Macaca mulatta: one gene and its partners. The protein of the gene in region 1 purifies or fractionates together with the protein of each later gene. This does not show direct contact. Links are inferred from orthologs where the notes say so. Each region holds a gene or a part of one and is shown on either strand. Other genes may lie near its edges. The genes, in order: AP1M1, ATG9A and AP1S2.

Region 1 (3,729 bases):
AATCCTTCCAGCCCAGGATCACTTAGTAGTCCTCAAACATTCTAGTTTGCTTTTCTAGAGGTTCGGTCACATTTCTATCCTAAGACTATATAATTACCGAGTTGCAAAAATCATCTTTCCAAACGCCAAAACGGAGATAGGAGGGAAAATAAAAGATGTGAGAGGCAGGCATCCTGGGTAAACCACTCTGATATTGCAGGGTTGGGATCCCCAGGGTACTGTGATGGCTAACTGGAACAGAATGCAGGTATTTCTCCAAAGCCCAAGATTTCATAAAAGCAAATTAGATATGATTCAATGGATTAATCAAGGGCCACCAGTTGCATTACCGACTACTAACTTTGCAGAAATGAAACACGGTATGCTGGGTCAAGGTTCAGTGAGACTGGTTTTCTTAACATTCCAGGCAATAAACAGGCATGCTCATTCACTGATAAGTTGACAATGACAGGTGGTGACTGTTGATAAGGTCTGATTGCCATTCAGAAAGTTTGACCTCTTTCCAAGTAACCACGGCCTTACCTCTCCCTTTTGAGCTTATCACAATTGGTGACTGTACACTTGTTTCATAGACTTCCCCACTAGACTGTGAGCTCCATAGGGCTGGGTCCCAGGTCGGTTTCACCACCAGGCTCTCTCGCCTAACTCGGCCGACGGGAGGCGGTTTTCAGCTGCTCTGGCTCCATAGCTCAGCCTGGCAGCGGCCAGTGGGTGCCCTGATTTGGTCGGCCCCGCCTCCCAGGGCCTTACTTCCGGGAGGCTTCAGGCGGGAGCAAGAAACATGGTCACATACAACGTAATGCGCCTGCGCAGAGTCCGTCCTGCGCCTGCGCATTCCTGGCAGCTCCTCCCGGACCGGACATAACGGTCCCCGCGCGGCTCCCCGAACCGGAAGTGGAGGTGAGCTGTCGCGGGCGGCGCCCGGCCTTGCTCAACGCCTGGCAGTCCCCACCGTCGCTGCCGCTGCCGAGGCCTCCTGCAGCCACCATGTCCGCTAGCGCCGTCTACGTGCTGGACCTGAAGGGCAAGGTAATGAAGGCTCCCCACCCTCCCTGTTGCCAGGCAACCGGCGGGGGCCTCCGCCCGCGGGGACCCACCCTGTTGCTAGGTAACCGGCTTATGAGCCCCACCCTGGTGTGAGGCAAAGAGGCCGGTAGACCTCACCTGAGAGCCCCACCCTATTTCTGGGTAACCGGGCGGGGGTCGTAAGTGGGTAATCCACGCCCTGTTGCTAGGTAACGCGGTGGGCTGCAGCCACCGCGTTGCCAGGTAACCGACTGCACCGCCCTCTGCTCCCAGGCACCCGGGCCAGAGGCTCTGGGCTCGGTGGAGGACCCAGAAGCGGGGCCGCAGCCGGCCTTGGAGCCAGGCAGGGTGTCCAGGGGCTGCGCGACCCTTGGCCGGGGGTGGCGAGGCGTGGCGGGGACTGGGTGCTCTCCAGCCAGTCCCGCCCTCTCAGGGCGTTGCAGCTTCTGTTTATCGTGCACTTTCTCTCAGGAGGAATTTCTCCATGTTCATTGCGATAGTGAGTTACAAGGGTTAGGTGAGTGGATGGTGATCACGAGTACCGTTTTATAGAGGGAGAAACTGAGGCACGGAGAGGTGAAGTAACCTGACCAAGGTCACAATGGTCACAGAGAAGTAGGAAGTCTAGGAGTCCGATCCAGAAGCATTTGTTTATTTAGCTGATATCTGGGGAGCACCTACTAATGCCAGGCAGGATAGTAAGCCTGGGGTCGATTTGTGTTTAGCAAAAAACAATCCTGCTTTTTTTTTTTTCTTTTTGAGATAGTGTCATGCTCAGTCGTCCAGTCTGGAGTGCAGTGGTGCGATCTCCACTCACTGCAACCTCTGCCTCCTGGGTTCAAGCAATTCTCCTGCCTCAGCCTCCCAAGTAGCTGGCATTACAGGCACCTGCCACCACGCCCAGCTAAATTTTGTATTTTTAGTAGAGACAGGGTTTCACCATGTTGACCAGGCTGGTCTCAAACTCTTGACCTCAAGTGATCCAGCTGTCTCAGCCTCCCAAAGTGCTAGGATTACAGGCGTGAGTCACTGTGCCAGGGCTCAACAATCTGTGTTCTTATGACGTTCACAGGCTGATTGGGGAGATGGATACCGATCTCCAAAAACACAAATAAATGTCAGTTGCAGTGGGGGGGTGGGGCGGATGTGTTATACAGATGGTCAGCCTCAGCCGGAGGATGAGAGAGGGTTTTCCTAAGGAGGGGTGACAAATGGACCTGAGATACCAGGGAGCTGGACATAGACTAGAACCCGGGCATCTTCCCCAGAGGATCTGAGAAAACTGAAAGAAGGGATTGTCCCCGCCTTTTAGAAATGGTCCTCTGCCTTCTCCCAAGTCCATCCCAGGTACAAGGCAAGTGGCTGCCTGGCCTGTTGCATGTGGAAGCAACAAGCACCGGTCCAACAATGTTAAACCCAACATTGGTCAGTGAGAGAAACAAACGTGGGTGTCAGGTCCTAGGTGAGGCGGGCAGGGGTGAGCCCTAAAGCAGCTGAGAGTGAAGAGGTGAAGTGGCTGCCCCTTCCTGTCCCACCCCACCCCCACACTTTCCTGAAGTCCCTTGAGTGGGTGCCTGCCCTGGAAGCCAACCAAAGCCAATAACTGATGAGATCCAGTGCTGGGTTTCCTTCCCCCACCTTCTTGGAAGCAGGGAAGACACCCGTCTTAGATCACGCCAGGGGCTGGGTGTGTGCAGTGTACCCTGAGTCCTGGTGGCATGAGTCTTGCTTCCGCCCTGGCCACTGCCTCCCCAGAGGTGCCAGCGGGCTGCCTGTCTTGGCTGGCTTATTCCTTCAGCAAACATTTCATGAGCACCTAGGATGCACCCTGTCCTGTGCCAGGCATAGGGTGTCCATTGGCACCGTGGCTGTGGTGTTAGGGCTGAGCTCAAAACCCATCTCTGCTGCTCAGCTGTGTGACCTGGGACAGGCACCTTCTCTCTGAGCCTCGCTTTCCTCACTGGTCAAAAGAGGCTTTCATGGAGTTATTGTGCAGATTTGCCGAGCAGATGTGTGAGACAGGCTCAGCACCACCCATGGTCCATGTTAGCTTTCCCAGGCCTCTCGGTCTAGCAGGGGAGTCCTCTAGAAGCAGAGACATTACCACACAGTTGGATCCAGGCAGCCACAGGGGCAGGAACAAGGTCCCAAGTCCTGCAGTTGCTCAACCTCGTCTTTAGCCAGTGGAAGGTGGAGGTGGTTATGAAAGGCTCCCTGGAAGAGGGCAACGCCGGAAGTGGGTTTGGAAGGTGATCAGGCACGATCTGGTGGAAAAGAGGTATTGCAAGGGGCAGCCTGCTGGGGCCGCTGAGCCAGAAGTCCTGGCTAATGCTGAGATGGGAGAGAGGGACCAAGGGGACCACTTCATTTCCAACAAGGAGCCACCGTGAGGAGACCATAGCCCAGAGAGGCATGATCAGACCTGCCTTTCAGAAAGCTCCCCAAGGCAGCCATGGGCTTCCCTCCCTCCCTCTGCAACCATGATGCCCTTTCTTATTCCACAATCCACGGACCTCCTGTTTCCAAAGTCGGCCTCGTGAGCCGACTGCATTTCATCAAAAATAAAGCACACTGAGAAATTCGTGGCCACGTGTCTGGTCACCGAGGACACTGGCGTGGCCACACTGGGCTGGAAGGAAGCTCTCCTAGTAGGAAGCTTCTCCGCTTTATCTAGCTGGCTTCTTACACCACTAACCACCACTA
Region 2 (3,746 bases), on another chromosome or scaffold:
GGAGTGCAGTCTGAGAGCCAGAGAGGACCCAGTGAAACCCAGTGGAAAGAGAAGAGTATGGAGGTAGCAGAACAAGACTGGGAACTGGAAGGGCCTGGAGAACTCCCAGTGGGCCCTCTCTGCTCCTCAGCCCCACAGAACTGTCTCAGGCCCACTCTTTGCTCTTAGCCTCAGCTGCCACAGCTGCAGCCTGCTTTCCTCACCTCATGGTAACCTCAGCCACCACTTCTGGACTCTTGAAGGTTTCATCCTGTGGGTCTCTGATCTCCAGTCCCTGATTGCCTTTTGAGGTTGTAGTTAAAAGCCCTTGGGGGAGTTTTCTGATTGAAGGAGGGCTTCTTAGCCCCTTCCCCTTTGGCAATGCTATATGGCTTCTCTCTCCCAGGAGGCTCTCTGCCTAGAAGCAGGCCATGGTACAGCCAAGGCAGAACAGAGGCTTTTCTCTGTGGCTGGCATCTCTGAGACCTCCTGACTGAACAATGTAATTTCCACTGGAGCGTTGAGATGATCAAGGTCAAGACCTGAGTTCTTTTTTCTTTTCCTTTTTTTTTTTTTTTTTTTTTGAGAGAGAATCTCACTCCGTCACCTGGGCTGGAGTGCAGTGGCACAATCTCAGCTCACCGCAACCTCCACCTCCCAGGTTCAAGTGATTCTTGTGCCTCAGCCTCCCAAGTAGCTGGGACTACAGGCGTGCGCTACCACACGCCTGGCTAATTTTTGTATTTTTAGGGCCTCCCAAAGTGCTGGGATTATAGGTGTGAGCTGCCGCGCCCAACCAAGGCCTGGGTTCTCTTCATGGAAGAGATAAGCCTTGGAAAGCTTTTCTTGTGAGAAAGCTTGGCCGGGCATGGTGGCTCATGCCTGTAATCCCTGCACTTTGGGAGGCCGAGGTAGGTGAATAACCTAACCTGAGGTCAGGAGTTCGAGACCAGCCTGGCCAACTTGGTGAACTCCCATCTCTACTAAAAATACAAAAACAATTAGCCAGGCATGGTGGCACATACCTGTTGTCCCAGCTACTAAGGAGGCTGAGGCAGGAGAATCACTTGAACCTGGGAGGCAGAGACTGCACCGAGCCAAGATCGCACCACTGCACTCCTGCCTGGGCGACAGAGTGAGACTCACTCCATCTCAAAAAAAAAGAAAGGTGAAGCTGTAAGTTTTGGTGCCACACCCAGTCCCTGAACTACAGAGGTTTACAAAGTTTTAGCCTAGGACTGAGTTGTACTGGCAGGTTGGGCCAGGTGTGAGTGCAAGGAGAGGAAAGACTAAGACGTATTCTTTCACCACATCATCTGTCCCTTCTTATACTTACATGAGCTCAAAGATCTCCCCGATGAGCATACATGTGAAGCCATTCTTCTGGTGCAGATTATAAACGTATAATTGTTAAGAAAAAGTGGTCAGAAAAGATAGCAGGTAAGAGCACAGACTTTGGTATCAACACACTCAAGCTTAAGTCCTGGCTCTGTGACTTTCTAGCTGTGTGACTTTACCAAGTTACTTAACCTCTCAACTTTTGTCTGTCCACAGTGGCACATTAGGAATGAATAACACTTATCTCATAGGAGTATTAGGTCTGAGATAATGCATGTAAAGTATTTAACACAGAGCTGACACAGAATGAGTCAAAAGATGTTACTTTTTACGATTATTAACATCCCATCAAAAATGAGGCTCGGCTGGGTGTGGTGGCTCACGCCTGTAATCCTAACACTTTGGGAGGCCGAGGGGAGTGGATCACTTGAGGTCAGGAGGTTCAAGACCAGCCTTGCCAACAATGGTGAAACCCTGTCTCTATGAAAAATACAAAAAATAGCCAGGCATCGTGGTAGGTGCCTGTAATCCCAGCTACGTGGGAGAGTGAGTGATGCAGGAGAATCGCTTGAACCCGGCAGGTGGAGGTTGCAGTGACCTGAGATTGCCCCTGGACTCTAGCAGCAACAGAGACTCCATCTCAAGAAAAAAAAAAAAAATGGAGGCTTACCCTTAGAAAGGCTCCACAAATTAACACCACAAAGTAGACACGGGCACACGGATCTTGGTAAATGTGGGCTATCATTACTTAACGATGATTTCACCAGCCTCTTTCAGCCTCAGGATAAGCTCCATTCCCCATTCCAGGTATTAGAGTCAAACCTACCCCCACCTTCCACCAGAGACCCAGCTTAGAGAGACACTAACGGTCCCAGAGCTCCAACTCAGAAACACAAAGGATATTCGAGAGAAGAAGAGGTCAAGGTTTTCAATATGGTGCCACGGTGCTGTGGGATAGGAACAGAGATGTCAGAGCTCTGGGAGAACACATGCCCCTTGCTCCCTCCATGGTCTTCCATCAGCTCTCCCTATGGCTGTCATGTCCAAGAACTCACACTTGCTCCCCTCAGCGACGTGCACCAACAGGTCCTCCTCCCCTGGGGGTGAATCACTGTAGGAGGCCTCTAGGCGCTGGTATTCAGTGTCAAACTGCGCCATCACCACCACCCCCTGTCCACCTTGACCACCTGCCAATGAGGAAGAAGAGACCCTGATTCAGTTCTAGCTGCTGCCCACGAGCTGCCCTGCCTAGTGCAAAAAGGAGTAAGAAAGTACCCTTGGGCTTTGTCTCCACTACCAGCCTGCTTGGCTCAGAGGCAGAGAAGTAGTAACACAAGGAAGGCAGTAAGCTCAGGGCTGGGGGGGCCTTAACTGGCCAGTCTGGGCGTCTACTGCTACCTTCCTGGCCCAAAGCCAGAATCTGCCCCTTTGTTGGGGGCTGTTTCATCTTCTATTTAATGGACAGAAAAGTCCCTCCCCCACCCATCCTGGAAACCCTGGTCTCCCAAGAGACTAGCAGGTTGGAAGCACTTTGCAAACAAATGTTTGAGAAAAGCACATGGCCCTACCAGCTCCATGGACAGTATGTGCTCCACTCCAGCCCTCGATGCTCTGCAGCTGCTGGAGGAGAAGATGTCAGGCCCCAGAGAGTGGGGAGTGGGGATATAAAGGAACCCAACCCTCCCACCCATCCACACCCCATGAAGAGGAGGCCAAGCATGGGGCAGGAAGGCTGCAGTGAGGAAGAAGCACCCTTCCAGCCCAGGACTACGAGCACTTCCTCTGGCTGCGCTAAACAGGGCCACTCTTCCAACTCCAGAGTCTCAAGAAATAACTTAGGGACCCCATGGAGAATGAATGGGTACAGACCTGAGGCCAGGGGCCCCTCTGGACTATTTCTTCATTGCCCCACCTTAGCCTCAGAAATGACATACTTCTCAAGGTCCACAAAACCCCAAGAGAGTCTTTCCTGAAGAGGACCTTTCTGGTCACCCTTTTCTTACTTCCCTAGCACCAAAGATCCAGCCGGTGAGCAAACCTGCTGGATGGGAAACCTTGACTGGGTCAGTGTAGACCCCAGATCCTAGGTGAATTTGTGGGTTCCCTAGGTCCTGGGAGCCAGGCATGGTCGTGGTACTCACCTGTCCGTGCAGCCCCTGGGGGCCGTGGATCTTGGCCCAGCCTGGCCCCGGTGGGATTCCCTGGGCTAGTGAGAGTCCTGGCCCTCAGGGAAGTCACCACTCACAGGGTCCGTGTGGACCAGGGCCCGTGGAGCCCCGGCCGGCTGGGCCTGGGCTCAGGGGTTCCTGCGGATGTTGCAGGGATCGAGTCAGCCCTACAGCTGATAGCCCGGGTGGGCTGGCTTGCCTCCCCACATCCAGCCGCGGCGACCGTGGACCGGAGTCCACCTCGCCCCAGGGTCGCCCGGC
Region 3 (3,746 bases), on another chromosome or scaffold:
GACATACCATTTTTGCAGTCGAAGCTTTCCCTGACGACTAAAAAGCAACATAAACTGCATCTGTTAAGATAAATAAAATCAAGATTACATGTAATACTTTGAATCAATAAAGTTAAGATTATGTGTTTCACAGAGAAGCTTTGGGGGATGGGGCATTTAAATGACAAATGATTACTAGCCATCAATATTTCTATGCCAATTAAAATAGCAAGAAATTCTTTTGGACAGATCTTCTCTAGATGCAAACCTTCCAATCCCACCCTGTTCCACGTTAAGTTTGGAGGGGAGTGTGCAAGAGAAAAAAGAAAAATTTGTAATAAGCTGAAGCGAAATTTTTGAAGAAAAATAAAGACCACTCTTTCAATTTAAGAAACTATTTTCTACCTGTGCTATACATTGCACACTCTCTATATGTATCAAAAGAAAATGGTAGACATCAATTGATTTGGGTATTTTTGAAAGAAACGGAAGACCTGCTATTTTTCACCCTGAGGCCGTTCTAGTTCCAGGGTGAACTACTTGTAGACAGTAGCTTATATCTTAGAATGCTCTCGTCGGTTTATGATGGCATATTTCAAGCAAAACAGAATGATCCAAAATATTAACCGAAAAATCTCATAACTACAAATTTTCCTTAATAAAAAAGTATGTTTTCATCTTACTTTTAAAACATTCCAACTTAAATATGTACAAAATCTAGAACTGAGTTAATGTAGTATTATGAAAAAGAAAACAAACATTTAAAAGGCCACAATAAGATTTACACTTGTTAAATAAGATTTAGTATTGAAACATTACATGAAATACTTCAAAAAAAATAGTATCTACAGATAGAGTGGATGCTGAATTCTAGTGTGTTTTATTACTTAAACTAATTTGTATGTATTTATTTGTGATCGCAAATGTGTTGATTAGTCTGCATGTTTCATTTTTAACCCAAGCTTTTTGTAATTCAATTGGTCATCTCAACTGCAAACAGAAGTATTGTTTCTACAAAGGTAATTTAAAGCCAGAATTCACATAGGTATCCTTTTTTCTTTTAACCACTGTAAGTTCCTTTAACAGCGTTACTGCAAGTAAGATTCAAGCATGATTCTCAAGATTCACCACACCATCTTGAATTTGAAGACGGGGAGGGGAAATTTACAGAACCAATGTAGAATAAAAATGGGCCCTAAATTTCGGTAAGAAATTATCGTCGTTTTTTATAACCACCCAAAAAGGTATCAACAAGATATCTAGAAATTTATGACGTGGCAATTCAACTTTAGTAAAGTTAAAATGGTCTTATTACCTCACTTAAAATGCGTCAGGGGAACAAAATATAAGGACATTATTAGATGATACCAAAGTGCCTCCCGTGCAAGTCCTGAAGATAGCGGCATTCGAAGGGAGCAGCAAGTGAAGCATCAACTGGACATTTACTGCAAACCCGTTACCAGAACTTGGAAAAGAATGGATCTCGTATTCCTAGATCTTGGTGACCAGAAAGGGTGAGGGTTTGCTTGCAAAGAGTATGGGCTCAAGGCTGTCTGGAGCAGGGTCCTGTACCCGCCCTACCACTTTGCAGGACGAAAAAACAATGTATTCTCCTTAAAATAAATTATGTCCTAACATGGGACGAAACCCGGTTGCAAGGCACGAGTATTCCTTCCCTCGTGTTAAAAACCAGCGCTTTGATTTTGCCGCAAATCACAGGGCACCAAAATTCCTCGAGATTGGCATTAAAAACAATGGGCTCAGCCGCGGCGCGGGCTCGGGGCCAGCGTTCCTCGGGTCCGGCCGTCGCCGGTGCCTCCCCCCCACTCCCGTGGCCACACTCCATCACTGACCAAGCCCGGGCGAGGTGACAGGCAAGGAGCGGAGCAGACAATGGCATCCGCCGCCGCGCAGGGGGCGCCAAGAGTCCTCGGCCGCCACCGCCCCCGGCCCCTCCCGAAAACGCCCCGCAAAACTTGAGGCGATTCCCGAACCACAGGTGCCGCGGGGCTGTCGCGGAGCCCGGGACTGGCCCCCACATCCCCGGGCGCGGCGCGGAGTGGTGCGGAGGACGCGGACCCTGAGAGAAGTGAGTTGCAGGCGCGGCGACCCAGTGGCGGGCCGGGCAGGCTCGGGGTGGGGTCGCGGGGCGCGCTCGGGGTGGCGGGGGGCGCGCCCAGCCCTCCCTCCCCCTCTCCATCCCCGGCGCCCCCTTTCGTCCCCGGGGACTTACGGCGGCCGCGGGCCGCGGGCGCGGCGGAGCTCGGCCGGCGGCGGCGGCGGCGGCGGCGGCGGCTAAGGGGAAGCCCCTGTCGCCGTGCTGAGGAAGAGAAGCCGTGGTGCTGTGGGGAGGGGACCCGGCTGGCGGAGGGCAGGCTTAGGCGGAGAGGGGAGGGCGAGCTGACAGACCCCGCCCCGGGGGCCGGACGAGGGAGGAGCCGGGGCTGCGGCGAGCTGAGGGGCGGGCTAGGCGACGCGCGGGAAGCGGCTCAGCAGTTGCCAGCGGCACCGGAGGCAGCGCAGGTAACCGCTGAATCCAAGGAAGCCGATTGGAGGCTTCTTTGCTGAGGGGGTGGTGCGAACCGGAAGCCGGGCCACGTGACCCGGAAGCGGCGTCTGCCGGGCCCGCGCGCCCGCGCACTCCTGCTGGTGCCTCCGGGACGCGCGCGGGCGGGTATGCTGCCTGTTTAATGATAGGAGGACGGGATTCTGCAGCGTCCTCAGCCTAGCCGGAGGTGCGGGGCCGGGAAGTTCCAGACAGCGAAGAGCCTCGTTTGAGCTCTAATGATTCTCTGTGTCCCCAGAGGGTGGGTCGGGGAGGTGTGACGGCTGACGACAAGGGTGGGAGGAGACGAGGGAGTGCTGCAACTCTGGAAAAACAAGTCAGCTCTTCTGTGGAGCTCGTCACCCATTCACGGGCATTTTGCTATCATTCTGCCTCAAAATTGTCCGGAATCCGGCCTCTCCTTCCCATTGCACTGCTCCAGCCCTAGCCCAGACACCTTTCGCCCTAAGCTTCGCGGGAGTCTGTTCCCTGGGCTCGCCTCGCCCATCTTCGGTGCTGCGGAGTTACCATCCGTTCGGCTGAAAAGCCCGGACAGCACCTCACCTTCGAGATCCCGCTTCCTTCACACTGGGTCGCCCCACCAGCCGCCTGGGTTCCAGTTTAGCACTGCCGACGACTTGCTGTGCCTGGCATGTCCTTGCTCTCAAATGTCACATCTCCTATGAAGCCTCACCCTAAAACCCTGTAAGAGCGATTCCCTCTTTCACCCACATGCCCGTTAGCCTTTATTTAGCACACCTTAAGTTGTATTCATTTTGCATCCCAGTCTAGTTCACTGCCTGGTGTATAACACAATAAATGTGAGTTGACTGATAAAGACCATAAAATGATAAATTTGTTAAGAGCTGTAATGCTGAGCGTAATGCCGGGGCATAATGGATGTTCGTAATTTTCTGAATGATAGAATGGATGAATCATCTAGTCATTTACAGATAAGGAAAGGGGAGTCCCACGGGATTAGGTGACCTTCCTTGAAGAGCCACGGGTTTCCCATATCGCATGCTATTCATTATCCGAGTCACCTAGGTTCCTACAAAGGAAGCGAGAAAATTGCTTTTGTTGGGCCATGTCCCTTTTGCAAAGGTTCCTAGGTGTAGTCGCCAGAATTTTTTTAATGGCCTAAAGTAAAAGAAATGCTAATTTTTTCACGAAGCTAAATGTAATCAATGTAAAGGAATCCTTTATTAGGAATTATATTCTT

What was found.
Region 2: the proteins of AP1M1 (region 1) and ATG9A purify together in Homo sapiens (affinity purification with western blotting, with the first as the bait; 3 studies listed by BioGRID). This does not show direct contact. The link is inferred for Macaca mulatta from reciprocal best matches to the Homo sapiens genes AP1M1 and ATG9A.
Region 3: the proteins of AP1M1 (region 1) and AP1S2 fractionate together in Homo sapiens (co-fractionation; 6 studies listed by BioGRID and IntAct, counting the BioPlex papers as one, with this or other methods). This does not show direct contact. The link is inferred for Macaca mulatta from reciprocal best matches to the Homo sapiens genes AP1M1 and AP1S2.

Annotation. Positions count from the first base shown.
Region 1 is NC_133424.1:16,678,517-16,682,245, forward strand, and holds the start of AP1M1 (AP-1 complex subunit mu-1), read left to right. Parts: upstream 1-874; 5' UTR 875-987; coding exon 988-1,029; coding exon of another isoform or gene 1,030-1,100; intron 1,101-3,729. UniProt on the Homo sapiens protein: Subunit of clathrin-associated adaptor protein complex 1 that plays a role in protein sorting in the trans-Golgi network (TGN) and endosomes.
Region 2 is NC_133417.1:124,472,567-124,476,312, forward strand, and holds the start of ATG9A (autophagy-related protein 9A), read right to left. Parts: upstream 2,505-3,746; 5' UTR 2,476-2,504; coding exon 2,373-2,475; intron 2,265-2,372; coding exon 2,221-2,264; intron 1,381-2,220; coding exon 1,316-1,380; intron 1,131-1,315; exon of another isoform or gene 1,005-1,130; intron 1-1,004. UniProt on the Homo sapiens protein: Phospholipid scramblase involved in autophagy by mediating autophagosomal membrane expansion. Cycles between the preautophagosomal structure/phagophore assembly site (PAS) and the cytoplasmic vesicle pool and supplies membrane for the growing autophagosome.
Region 3 is NC_133426.1:15,532,141-15,535,886, forward strand, and holds the start of AP1S2 (AP-1 complex subunit sigma-2), read right to left. Parts: upstream 2,546-3,746; 5' UTR 2,213-2,545; intron 2,069-2,212; exon of another isoform or gene 1,822-2,068; intron 61-1,821; coding exon 1-60. UniProt on the Homo sapiens protein: Subunit of clathrin-associated adaptor protein complex 1 that plays a role in protein sorting in the late-Golgi/trans-Golgi network (TGN) and/or endosomes.